Oryctolagus cuniculus: one gene and its partner. The protein of the gene in region 2 interacts with the protein of the main gene of each other region in a biochemical or structural test. Links are inferred from orthologs where the notes say so. Each region holds a gene or a part of one and is shown on either strand. Other genes may lie near its edges.

What was found.
Region 1: of the proteins of RHOA (region 2) and KCTD13, one has a biochemical effect on the other in vitro, tested with the Homo sapiens proteins (2 studies listed by BioGRID, with this or other methods). The link is inferred for Oryctolagus cuniculus from reciprocal best matches to the Homo sapiens genes RHOA and KCTD13.

Annotation. Positions count from the first base shown.
Region 1 is NC_091450.1:7,314,678-7,320,311, reverse strand, and holds part of KCTD13 (BTB/POZ domain-containing adapter for CUL3-mediated RhoA degradation protein 1), read left to right. Parts: intron 1-1,307; coding exon 1,308-1,397; intron 1,398-1,478; coding exon 1,479-1,531; intron 1,532-2,157; coding exon 2,158-2,353; intron 2,354-5,600; coding exon 5,601-5,634. UniProt on the Homo sapiens protein: Substrate-specific adapter of a BCR (BTB-CUL3-RBX1) E3 ubiquitin-protein ligase complex required for synaptic transmission.
Region 2 is NC_091441.1:99,886,744-99,892,466, forward strand, and holds the end of RHOA (transforming protein RhoA), read left to right. Parts: intron 1-950; coding exon 951-1,081; intron 1,082-2,196; coding exon 2,197-2,370; 3' UTR 2,371-3,411; downstream 3,412-5,723. UniProt on the Homo sapiens protein: Small GTPase which cycles between an active GTP-bound and an inactive GDP-bound state.

The sequences.
Region 1 (5,634 bases), on a different chromosome or scaffold from region 2:
TCTTTATAAACTGAAGCTTCGAAGTTTGGGAGAATTTGTCAAACAGCAGTAGGTAACTAATACACACCCCACACTTACCCGCACTTATGTGTGGTGTCGTCTTTAATGAATTTGTTTATTTTTGAATGTTTAGTTGTTTGAAAGGCAGAGCAACACAGCAGGGCAAACAGAGAGTCATCACGCTGGTTCATTCCCCAAATGGCTGCAATAGCCAGGGCTGGGCCAGGCTGAAGGAGGAGCCTGGAGCTCCATCTGGGTCTGCCGCCTGGGTGGCAGGAACTCAAGTACGTGAGCCACCTTCTGCTGCTTTCCCAGGTGTGTGAGCAGGAGCTGCATGGGAAGCAGAGCAGGGGGACTCAGGCAAGCCCTCCGTGTGGGATGCCAGCGTTGCAGGTGGCGGCGTAGCCTGCTGCGCCAAACGCCAGCCCTCAGGTGTCTGTTCAAACAGCAGCCCTCGTACGTGCGCCGGCCTGTTTCATGCTTCTTTATTATGTCCACTGGGTTTCTCATTCGTTTCTGCACCAGCACTACCCCGTTCGCATCACTGTGGCTGTGTAGTGTATCTCACCATCCAGGAGCCTCAGTCCCTCCTCTTTGCTGCTGTGTAAAAACTGACCTAAATAATTGCAGATATTTGTCCTTCCATAGTAATTTTAGAAGAAGTCGTAAGAGTTTCTAGAATTCTAGATTTGCACATTTTAGTTTTTCAGGGTTGGGCGAGGTGAGAGGGGTTTGACCATGAAGATTTTGGAAGGCAGAGGAAAAAGAAGCCCGTGTTTCTGGTTCTGGTCTTCTCTCCACCTCTTCCCACCCAGCCAGGGTTTTCAGGCAACAGATACGTGTTGAGCTCCGCGTGTGTGCTGGGCGCCTGCTGCCTGTGTGAGGTGGAGGAACAGACAGACCATAAACAAATGTACAAAAAAGAAAAAAAAAAGCATGCCCAGGACTAAGTGCTGTGAAGAAGGTGAGCCGTTAATTTGCAGGGAGGAGGCTGCGCCGGTGGGGAGGTGGGCCAGCCCTTCCAGAGGCACTGTCGGTGCTGAGATCTGAGCGGGCCACGGAGCCAGCTCTGCAGACAGCTGAGCGCAGCGCAGGCAGGAGGAACAGTGATGGTGGCCACAGGCTGGCGCACGGCAGTCCACAGGGCCTGAGCCAGCAGGGTCAGGGCACAGTGGTAGAGGTGAGGCCAGAGACATCAGCACTGCCCGTGGGCCACTAAGCAGCCTGCGTTTTCCCCCAAGGGCTTCTAAGTGGGGGCATGAAAGACCTTTGGTTATGCCGTTAACCACCTTCCTCTTCTTCCCCAGCAAAAAAGGGAGAACCTGTCCCCGCTGTGCGTCATCCCCACTGTGACATCTCCCCGGGAGGAGCAGCAGCTCCTGGCCAGCACCTCCAAGGTGAGCTCCCACAGCCTAGCCCTGGAGGCGGGGCCTCTCCCTACAGCCTGACCCCCCTCCCTCTGTCCTCTCCCCCCACAGCCCGTGGTGAAACTCCTGCACAACCGCAGTAACAACAAGTACTCCTACACCAGGTGACGCGGGGGCGGGGCGTGGGGGGCTGGGGCAGAGCCGGTGGGGGGGCGGGGGGGGCCCTGTCCCGGTCCCCAGCCACACAGCCTTAGGGCCCTGCAGAGGGACTCCAGCAGCGCCTGCCCTGGCACTCACCCCAGAGTGCTTTGGACAGCTCATGTTCACTTCTGAGCTTCAGGCCGGGGACCAGAGAGCTGGGGCCCAGGGGATTGGGTGGCAGTGGCAGTGGCAACGGCTGGGCCGTGCCAAGGGCGGATTTTTCTCTCTGGCATTGCTCTGGGTGCACCCTGCATGTCCACTTACACAGTCCTTGGTGACGTACAGTGTGCTCGCGACTTCCGTTTCACAGACGGGGGAGGGGCGGGGGGACTGAGGCACCGAGAGCTGAGGTGAATGGCCTGGTGTCACTGGATGGAGCCGGGCTGGCAGCAGCCTGGTTGCAGGGCCTCTCAGGGCACTGGCTTGCGCTCTCGCTCTCGGCAAATGCGCCTTCCTTTGGGCCCCAGAGGGTAGGCAGCTCCCTGGGGGTGCCAGACCCCCCCCCCCGCAGGACCAGAGTGCTGGGAACCCGGGGGAGGGGGAGGGGAGGGCGGAGGGAGCTAGTGGCTGAGGCCCGGCCCCTCCTCAGCACTTCGGACGACAACCTCCTGAAGAACATCGAGCTGTTTGACAAGCTGGCCCTGCGCTTCCACGGGCGGCTGCTCTTCCTCAAGGACGTCCTGGGGGACGAGATCTGCTGCTGGTCCTTCTACGGGCAGGGCCGCAAGATCGCCGAGGTGTGCTGCACCTCCATCGTCTACGCCACGGAGAAGAAGCAGACCAAGGTCAGCAGGGCTCAGGGCCTGGCGGGCGGTGGGGCGGCCGGGAGCCGGGAGCCAGGGTTCCGTGGTTCGGGGTGTAACCCAGGGCAAGTCACCTCTGTGTGTGTGTGTTTCTCTCTCTCTCTCTCTCTCTCTCTCTCTCTTTTTAACGATGGGCTGATTTGAAAGGCAGAATGACAGAGGGACAGACAGAGATCTTCCGTCCACTGGTGGACTCCCCAGATAACCAACAGGTAGCGCTAGGCCAGGCCGAAACCAGGAGCCAGCAAGTCCATGCAGTCTCCCACGTGGTGGCAGTGGCCCCAGCACTCGGGCCATCACCTGCCGCCTCCCAGGCGTGTTTGCAGGAAGCCGGATGGGAAGTGCGGGGCGGTGGGGGAACCAGCACTCTGATATGGATGCAGGCTCCCACAGCAGCGTGGCCCCCTGTGCCACAACGCCCACCCCTCTCTGTTTCACTGCCTGTGAAATGAAGGTGCTGATTAGAACAGGACTCAGCCTCAGCCCATGGGAAGAGTTGTAAGGCTATCTGTAGTCCCCAGAGAGAATGCTCAGGTTTGGGGGTGGGGTGTGCCTTTTCCCATATGGAAGGTCCATAGATACCCGGAAATGTCTGTCACCACCTAGAGGGCGTTTTTTTTTTTTTTTTTTTTTAAGATTTACTTTATTTATTTGAAAGGCAGAGTTAGAGTTAGAGTTAGAGAGAGAGAGAGAAAGCGCCTCCATCCGCTGGTTCACTCCCCAAATGGCCGCAATGACATGGGCTGGGCCAGGCCGGAGCCAGGAGCCTCTTCCACGTCTCCCATGCGGGTGCAGGGGCCCAAGCTCTTGGACCCTCCTCCCTTGCTTTCCTGGATGCATTACAGGGAGCTGGATGGGGAGTGGAGCAGCCGGGAGCGCCAGCACTGCAAGCTGGGGCTTTGCCGCTGCACCCCCACAGCGAGGCTCTTACGAACTTCGGACCAGATGGCCACTTAGATCTCGCTGGGCTTGCAGGCCCTGAGTCTCACACGACAGCAGAGGCTTCCCAGCACCTGCTCCGTGCGAAGCACCGCAGCCAGGCTCCACTCCAAGGGGACCGGCGTGCTGAGGGCAGGGGCCGCCCGAGGTGGATGTGGTGGGTGATGGATGCCCTCAGCCCCCTCCCCCCAGTCACTGCGAGTCTCCCAGTAGCCTGTGCTGTTTCACACCTGCCTCTGCGCACACTCTTGCCACATTTTGGAAAGGTCATTCATTCATTCATTCATTGATAAGGCAGACAGAGGGGTGGATCTTCCATCTGATGGTTCACTTCCCAGGAAGTGAAGCTCCTGAAGCCAGGAGCCAGGGATTCCATCTGGGTGTCCCATGTGGATCCAAGCACTTGGACCACCTTCCACTGCTTCCTGGGTATACTCGCAGAGAGCCGGACTGGAAGCAGAGCAGCTGGGACTCGAACCGGCACTCTGATATGGGACATAGGCATCGCAGGCGGCTGCTTAACCTGTCGTGCCACACTGCTGGCCTCTTCTTCCTCATCCCTGTGCCTAAAGGACACGTATTTCATTTTTAGGCCCAAGATGACCAGCACTTTCTTTGTGACACTTTCCCTCATGAACTTTCTTTAAAAAAAAAAAAAGAATTATACGTAAATATATATTTTATTTTATTTTATTTTTTTGACAGGCAGAGTGGACAGTGAGAGAGAGAGACAGAAAGGTCTTCCTTTTGCCGTTGGTTCACCCTCCAATGGCTGCCGTGGCCAGCACGCTGCAGCCGGCGCACCGCGCTGATCTGATGGCAGGAGCCAGGTACTTATCCTGGTCTCCCATGGGGTGCAGGGCCCAAGTACTTGGGCCATCCTCCACTGCACTCCCTGGCCACAGCAGAGAGCTGGTCTGGAAGAGGGGCAACCGGGACAGAATCCGGCGCCCCAACTGGGACTAGAACCCGGTGTGCCAGCGCTGCAAGGCAGAGGATTAGCCTAGTGAGCCGCAGTGCCGGCCAAGAATTATATATAAATATATAAATTGGAGAGGCAGAGAGCTGCCATCCACTAGTTTATTCCCCAAATGCCCACTATAACAGGCTGGGCCAGGCCAGAAGATAAACCAATCGTAAGAGTGCATCTTGATTAGGACATGCCCACTACAACAGAGGCTGGGCGGGGCTGGAAGATTAACCAGTCATGAGAGTGCATCTTGATTAAGAGCTGTGGTGGTTCCCGCCTTCCAAGGCCAGGCATCCTCTTGGCTTCATCCTTTCTGCTCTGCCTCCATCCCAGTGGCACTGGCCTGGCTGACCCTCGCTCCTGACCCAGAGCTTTCACATTTGCCCCTCCCCAGACAGACCACCTCCTCTGGCTGTCCACCCAGGTGGACGGCACCTCAGGGAGGCCTTCCTGAACTGCCTGACATGGTGAGCCTCCTGGCTGTGGCCAGCCTCACCTGCCTCCTCTCCCAGCGTCTGTCATCATCCGACTCAGTTTACGTTTTCGTAAGTGTACGAGGCTACCTCAGAAAGTTTGTGGAGAAGTGGGATTACGAGATAAGTTTATTTTGGTGCCAAAGCATTTTGAAGTGCATGTGGTGTCTTTCATTACATGTATTTTCCACGGACTTTTTGAAGACCCTCATATGTGTGAGTCTCCCCACTAGAACGTAAACTCCCTGTGGGCAGGGGCTTTGTCCCCAGGGTGCAGAGGGGGCCCCGGGACAGCGCGGTCCTTGGGTGAGTATTTGCCACATGAGGAGACAAGGCCGCGGAGGAGCGGAAACAGTCACTCTGCCTGGCTGCAGAGCTGGGCCTTGAAGCAGGACTTTGCTGAGTAAAGACGTCACAGGGGCCAGCGCTGGGACGTAGTGGGGAAAGCCGCCACCTGCGACACAGGCATCCTATGTGAGCGCCAGCTGGAGCCCCGGCTGCTCCACTTCCCATCCAGCTCCCTGCTACCAGCCTGAGAGATGCAGTGGACGACGACCCAAGTCCTTGGGCCCCTGCACCCACGTGGGAGGCCGAGTCGAAGCTCCTGGCTTCCAGCTGGCCCAGCCCAGCCATTGCAGCTGGCTGGGGAGAGAACTGGCGAGTGGAAGCTTGCTCGCTTGCTCTCTCTCTCTCTCTCCTTCTCTCTCTGTAACTCGGCCTTACAAATAAATAAGTAAATCTTAAAAAAATGAAGAAGGTGCAGAGACATCCAGGCCAGTGCAGGAGCCGCCAGGGCTGGGGGCTGGCTCTGTGCTGCTGGACCATGGCGGGTTGTGACCTTGCACAGGTGGAATTCCCAGAGGCCCGGATCTTTGAAGAGA
Region 2 (5,723 bases):
CCGATGGCAGGAGCCAGGTACTTATCCTGGTCTCCATGGGGTGCAGGGCCCAAGCACTTGGGCCATCCTCCACTGCACTCCCTGGCCACAGCAGAGAGCTGGCCTGGAAGAGGGGCAACTGGGACAGAACCCAGTGTGCCGGCGCCGCAAGGTGGAGGATTAGCCTAGTGAGCCGTGGCGCTGGCCCACAGTCAGTCTTGATCTACTTGAATCCAAGGGTGGAGGTCCATGAGCAATGAGGACTGAGCCTCTGCTGGTGGCACCAGCATCCCATATGGGCACCACCAGTTCATGTCCCGGTTGCAGCACTTCTGATCCGGCTCTCTGCTTATGGCCTGGAAAAGCAGTGGAGGATGGCCCAGGAGCTTGGGCCCCTGTAACCATGTGGGGGACAGGAAGAAACTACTGGCCCCTTATTTCCAACCAGCCCAGCTCTGGCCGTTTGGGGAGTAAACCAGAGGATGGAAGGCCTCTCTCTGTCTGTCTCTCTCTCCCTCTCTCTAACTCCATCTCTCAAATAAATAAGTCAATCTTTTTATCTTTTAAATAAAAAACAGAGATGACATGTGGACCTTGGGCCAGCTGCTGCTCCAGAAGGGCGACCCCTTTTGTAAGCTGCAGTCAGAATTGTCTGCCACAAAGACCTGTGGGAAGTCTCCCTAGGGCTATTGTGGAGCTTCTCTGTGTTCTGGAGCCTCCGTGCCTTCTGAGCCCTTACTTGGGCCCTACCTCCGCAGGAGCTTGGCCATCTCTCTTGAAAAGCCTGTGGCTCAGTGTTTAAGGGAGGGGCTTAGATTTGCATTTTTCTGTCATTTTTAAAACTAGGAGGATTCCATTAAATGTTCAGCATACTTCTGAAGCAGCAAAGGAAGTATTTGCAATTAGAGCTGAAGGATATTCTTCAAGATGGAATTATTTGTAGCCCCATATTTGTGCATTTTTTCTTTCAGAAAATATCCCAGAAAAATGGACCCCAGAAGTGAAGCATTTCTGTCCCAACGTGCCCATCATCCTGGTTGGGAACAAGAAGGATCTTCGGAATGATGAACACACAAGGCGGGAGCTAGCCAAGATGAAGCAGGCACGGTCTGGGGCGGGCTCTGTCTTCTGTAGCCGTCTCGAATGAGGGCCCCAGGGTTGGCTGTTCAGGGAATCCAGCAGAAAGCCTCACAGGCCAGGTTGTTTTAGATGCCTCTCTATCCATCTGGCCCTCAGTGACTTGTGACCTTAACACATGATCGATCCCTAAGACTCCTTACTCCTATGAGATGGGCTCTCTTAGGCAGTAGCACTGTACCATCCATCCAGGAACCATCCCAGTAAGTAGTCAAGGCTTCTGAGGTAGGAACTTCATCAGCCTCTTCATTTATTGTTTTGGCACATGTGAGGCCAAAGATAAAGTAGTAGCAACTAAAGAAGCAGGAAGTCCCAAGGCATGGAGTCCAGACAGAAGACTCTAATGCTTTCATTAAAGTGATGATGGAGGTAGCATCTTGGCTTTTTAGAATCTAGTCAGGTGGCAGGCTGGGTGTTGAGCACAACGTGTAAGGCACTGCTTTACATTGCCCATACCCATGTTGGAGGGCCTGGTAGGAGTCCTGGCTCAGCTTCTGATCCAGCTTCCTGTTAACACACTGGAAGCCTTTAGAGGATGGCTTAAGTATTGGGGCCCCTGCCACCCATGTGGGAGACTAGGAGGGAGCCCTGGCAGTTACAGACATTTGGGGAGTGAACTCTTAGATTGAAGATCCTGTCTCTGCTTTTCAGATAAAATGGGAATTAAAAGTTCCAAGAGGCCTAATGGCAGGGCTTCCTCCAGAGCAGGAGGAACGTTGAGGTCTTCAAACCAAGTTCTCCCGCTGAGGTCTGAATGGGAGGACAGTCTCAGTCTCTCCATGGCATTCAGTCCTCTGTGGAAGACCAGTGCTTGCCCTGGATAGGCAGCTTGAGTAATTTAATCGGTGATTCTTTCCTTAGCTTTCCTCTGACTTCTTCCCTCTTCCTCATTTCTTCCCAAAAAAGCATGTTTAATAAGATTTTATATTGGAAAAGGAGTAGTCACTGCATTTCAGTGTCACAATTTCATAAGATAGTTTAAATTTGGGACTTTGGCAACTTAGAACTTTGAGCTGAATCTCTAACTGCTTACTGTGTGTATTTAGTACTGTTAGCTGACAGCATTCTTCTTTGTTGCAGGAGCCAGTAAAACCTGAAGAGGGCAGAGATATGGCAAACAGGATTGGCGCCTTTGGGTACATGGAGTGTTCAGCAAAGACCAAAGATGGAGTGAGGGAGGTTTTTGAAATGGCCACGAGAGCGGCTCTGCAAGCCAGACGTGGGAAGAAAAAATCCGGGTGCCTTGTCTTGTGAAACCTCGCTGCAAGCACAACCCTCACGCGGTTAATTTTGAAGTGCTGTTTATTAATCTTAGTGTATGATTACTGGCCTTTTTCATTTATCTATAATTTACCTAAGATTACAAATCAGAAGTCATCTTGCTACCAGTATTTAGAAGCCAACCATGATTATTAACGATGTCCAGCCCGTCTGACCAGCCAGGGGCTTCTGACACTGCTCTAACAGCCCTCTCTGCACTCCCACCTGACACACCAGGCGCTAATTCAAGGAATTTCTTAACTTCTTGCTTCTTTCTAGAAAGAGAAACAGTTGGTAACTTTTGTGAATTAGGCTGTAACTACTTTATAACTAACATGTCCTGCCTGTCATCTGTCAGCTGCAAGGAAGCTGAGTTAGCACCTCAGAGCTTGACTCCTTCAAAGATGGCATTCGGCATAGCTCTGGGGTGGGCATCCAGTTTTTTTTTTAAAATGTGCTCAGCCAGAAAGGTCCGAGACGTTGCAGCTGTGGCAGAGTTACAGTTCTGTGGTTTCATGTTAGTTACCTTATAGTTACTGTGTAATTAGTGCCACTTAATGTATGTTACCAAAAATAAATATATCTACCCAGACTAGATGTAGTATTTTTTGTATAATTGGATTTCCTAATACTGATATTTGTCATCCCCACAGAAAGTGTATTGGTTTTTTTAAAAAAAAGAAAGTGTATTTGGAAATAAAGTCAGATGGAAAATTGATTTTTTAAATTCCCGTTTTGTCACTTTCTCTAATAAAAGATGGCCATATCACCCCACCTCAGCCCCACGTATCCCAGTGCCCCTCTCCAGAGCTGGGTTAAGTACGTAGGAATTTGGTTTTCAACTGTGGAAAGTGGCATAGCCTTTCTCCTGGACTGCAGGGTCTGGCTCTGATTCACAGTGCTCTTTCTCCTCACTGCAAGAGGAGCCACCCACCTCAGAGGCGGCACCGGCTTCTCTGCTCTCCACCGACTAGACTTTTACTGTGTGCCAGTTACGTTTTCCAACTACTAATAGAATAAAGGCAGTTTTCCAAACTTGAGTGTCTTGGTGTTTGTGTTGCTCTCTCCAGGGCTGAGGGCAGGAGGATCGAAGGACTCCGCCCTCTCACCCTGGCCCACCCCTCGGGTTCCTTCCCCCCCAGAGAACACGGACGTGATTATTCTGTGCCACTTTCAAGTTCACCGTCGGGAGTGGGTGGGAACGCACTCCGGGCGGCTTCTCGGTGCTGGTGAGGGTTTTGGGCGACACCCGAGCCCCAGGCTTTAGGGCATTGTACTGCTCAAAACCTGTGTCAAGGCAGTGCAGCCCTGGGGCCGACTGGGCATTGGCAGACTGGGACCGAATGGGAGCACGCTCTTGGCAGCCTCACCGCGCAGAGCCTGGTGACCTGGGTGGCCCTTGGCGTTCCTGCCCAGCGCCAGGGAGCCCCGCCGCGCAGAGCTGCTGCCCACTGCAGCTTCACCCCGTCTTAACTGCGGGACAGCTGGCGACAGTAGGGCACACGCTGCAAGAGGAACACGGCAGAGGAGAGGGCGCTCTGCTGGACCCGTCTACCAAGGCTCACACCCTAAGGAGCTTTTAGGACAGCTTCCAGGGGGCCCTCGGCGCTGTTACCCAGGCCCGTGTGGTCGGACCTTGGCTTCTGGCCGCACCTTCCCGCCGGTCCCCAGCTGCGGGAGGGGCCGAGACCCTTCGGGGAAGGCGGAGGCCGGATGAGGCGGGACCCTCGGGCCCGGAAAAAGTGCCTGCGCCACGTGACCCTGCCGCCGACCAGTTAAAAGGAGGCGCTGCCGAACACCCCGGCTCCGCGCTTCGGAAGCTCCGCTTTGTCTCACACCATGTGTGCGGCTCGTATGGCGGCGGCTGCCCAGTCTGTGTACTCCTTCTCAGCGCACCCGCTGGCCGGCGGGGAGCCCGTGAACCTGGGCTCCCTGCGGGGCAAGGTGCTGCTCATTGAGAATGTGGCGTCGCTCTGAGGCACTACGGTCCGGGACTACACCCAGATGAACGAGCTGCAAGAGCGCCTCGGGCCCCGGGGCCTGGTCGTGCTCGGCTTCCCGTGCAACCAGTTTGGGCATCAGGTGCGCGGGGCGGGGGTAGGGGGCGCTGGCGGGGCTGGGGGCGCGCAGCCGCGGTCAGGGGCGCTGGCGGGGCGGGCCCTCGCTCCCTTCCCTTCCCCAGCGCGTCACGACTGGAATGCAGGCGCACACCGGGGTTGGGCTCCGAAGGCCACTTCCTGGTGACTCATCAAAACCTCCTTGTTTGCGGTTTGAAGTTTCCATGCCCTCCCTCCCGCGGCCGCGGGTCCTAGCTGCCCTTCTCTCCTACAGGAGAACGCCAAGAATGAGGAGATTCTGAATTCCCTCAAGTATGTCCGGCCTGGAGGCGGGTTCGAGCCCAACTTCATGCTCTTCCAGAAGTGCGAGGTGAACGGCGCCAAGGCGCACCCGCTCTTCGCCTTCCTGCGGGAGGCCCTGCCGGCGCCCAGCGACGACCCCACTGCGCTCATGACCGACCCCAAGTTCATCACCTGGTCCCCGGTGTGCCGTAACGACGTTTCCTGGAACTTCGAGAAGTTCCTGGTGGGCCCCGATGGCGTCCCGGTGCGCAGGTACAGCCGCCGCTTCCCCACCATCGACATCGAGCCCGACATCCAAGCCCTGCTGTCCAAGGGGTCTGGCGGTGCCTAGGGCGCCCCCTACCCTGGCTGCTTGCCAGTGGCCTGCTGCTCTCTGGGGGTTTCATCCATGAGGGCGTTCCCCCGAAAACAAATGGAGGAACGCCTGATGTCCGGGAAACCCCCAGGTGGGCGCTGGTCCTGTCCATCCCTGCCTCTCCTCTGCCAGCCTGAGGCGAGCTTCTTCGCTAATAAAATGCTGAGTTCCAGTACACCTGCACTGTGTTCTGTGTCAGTGTCTGCTTGGGGACACATTTCCTATTAGCATTGGGTCTTATTTCTGCTAGGTCATGCAACAGGGCCACCCAGAGGCCCAGCCGCAACAGAAAACCCTTACTCGGAAAGAGGAAGGCCCATGGCTTGGCCCGCCTGCCTGTCCTGGTAGAGGGGCCATTCCTTTGTTTCCTGGACACTGAGAGATGACCACCACAAACTCAGGTCCCCACTCGCTTCAGTCTGGCCTCTCTAAGTGTTAGGCCACACAAGCCCCTTGTACACAGTTGGAAGCTCATGTGATCTAGTTGGCCAGATCTTTCCATTTTGGGACCCAGTGCTTGAACCTGTTCAGGGCCAGTGCTGTGGCGTAGCAGGCTGAGCCTCCGCCTGCAGCACCAGCATGTCCCATATGGGCACCGGTTCATGTCCCAGCTGTTTCTCTTCAGATCCAGC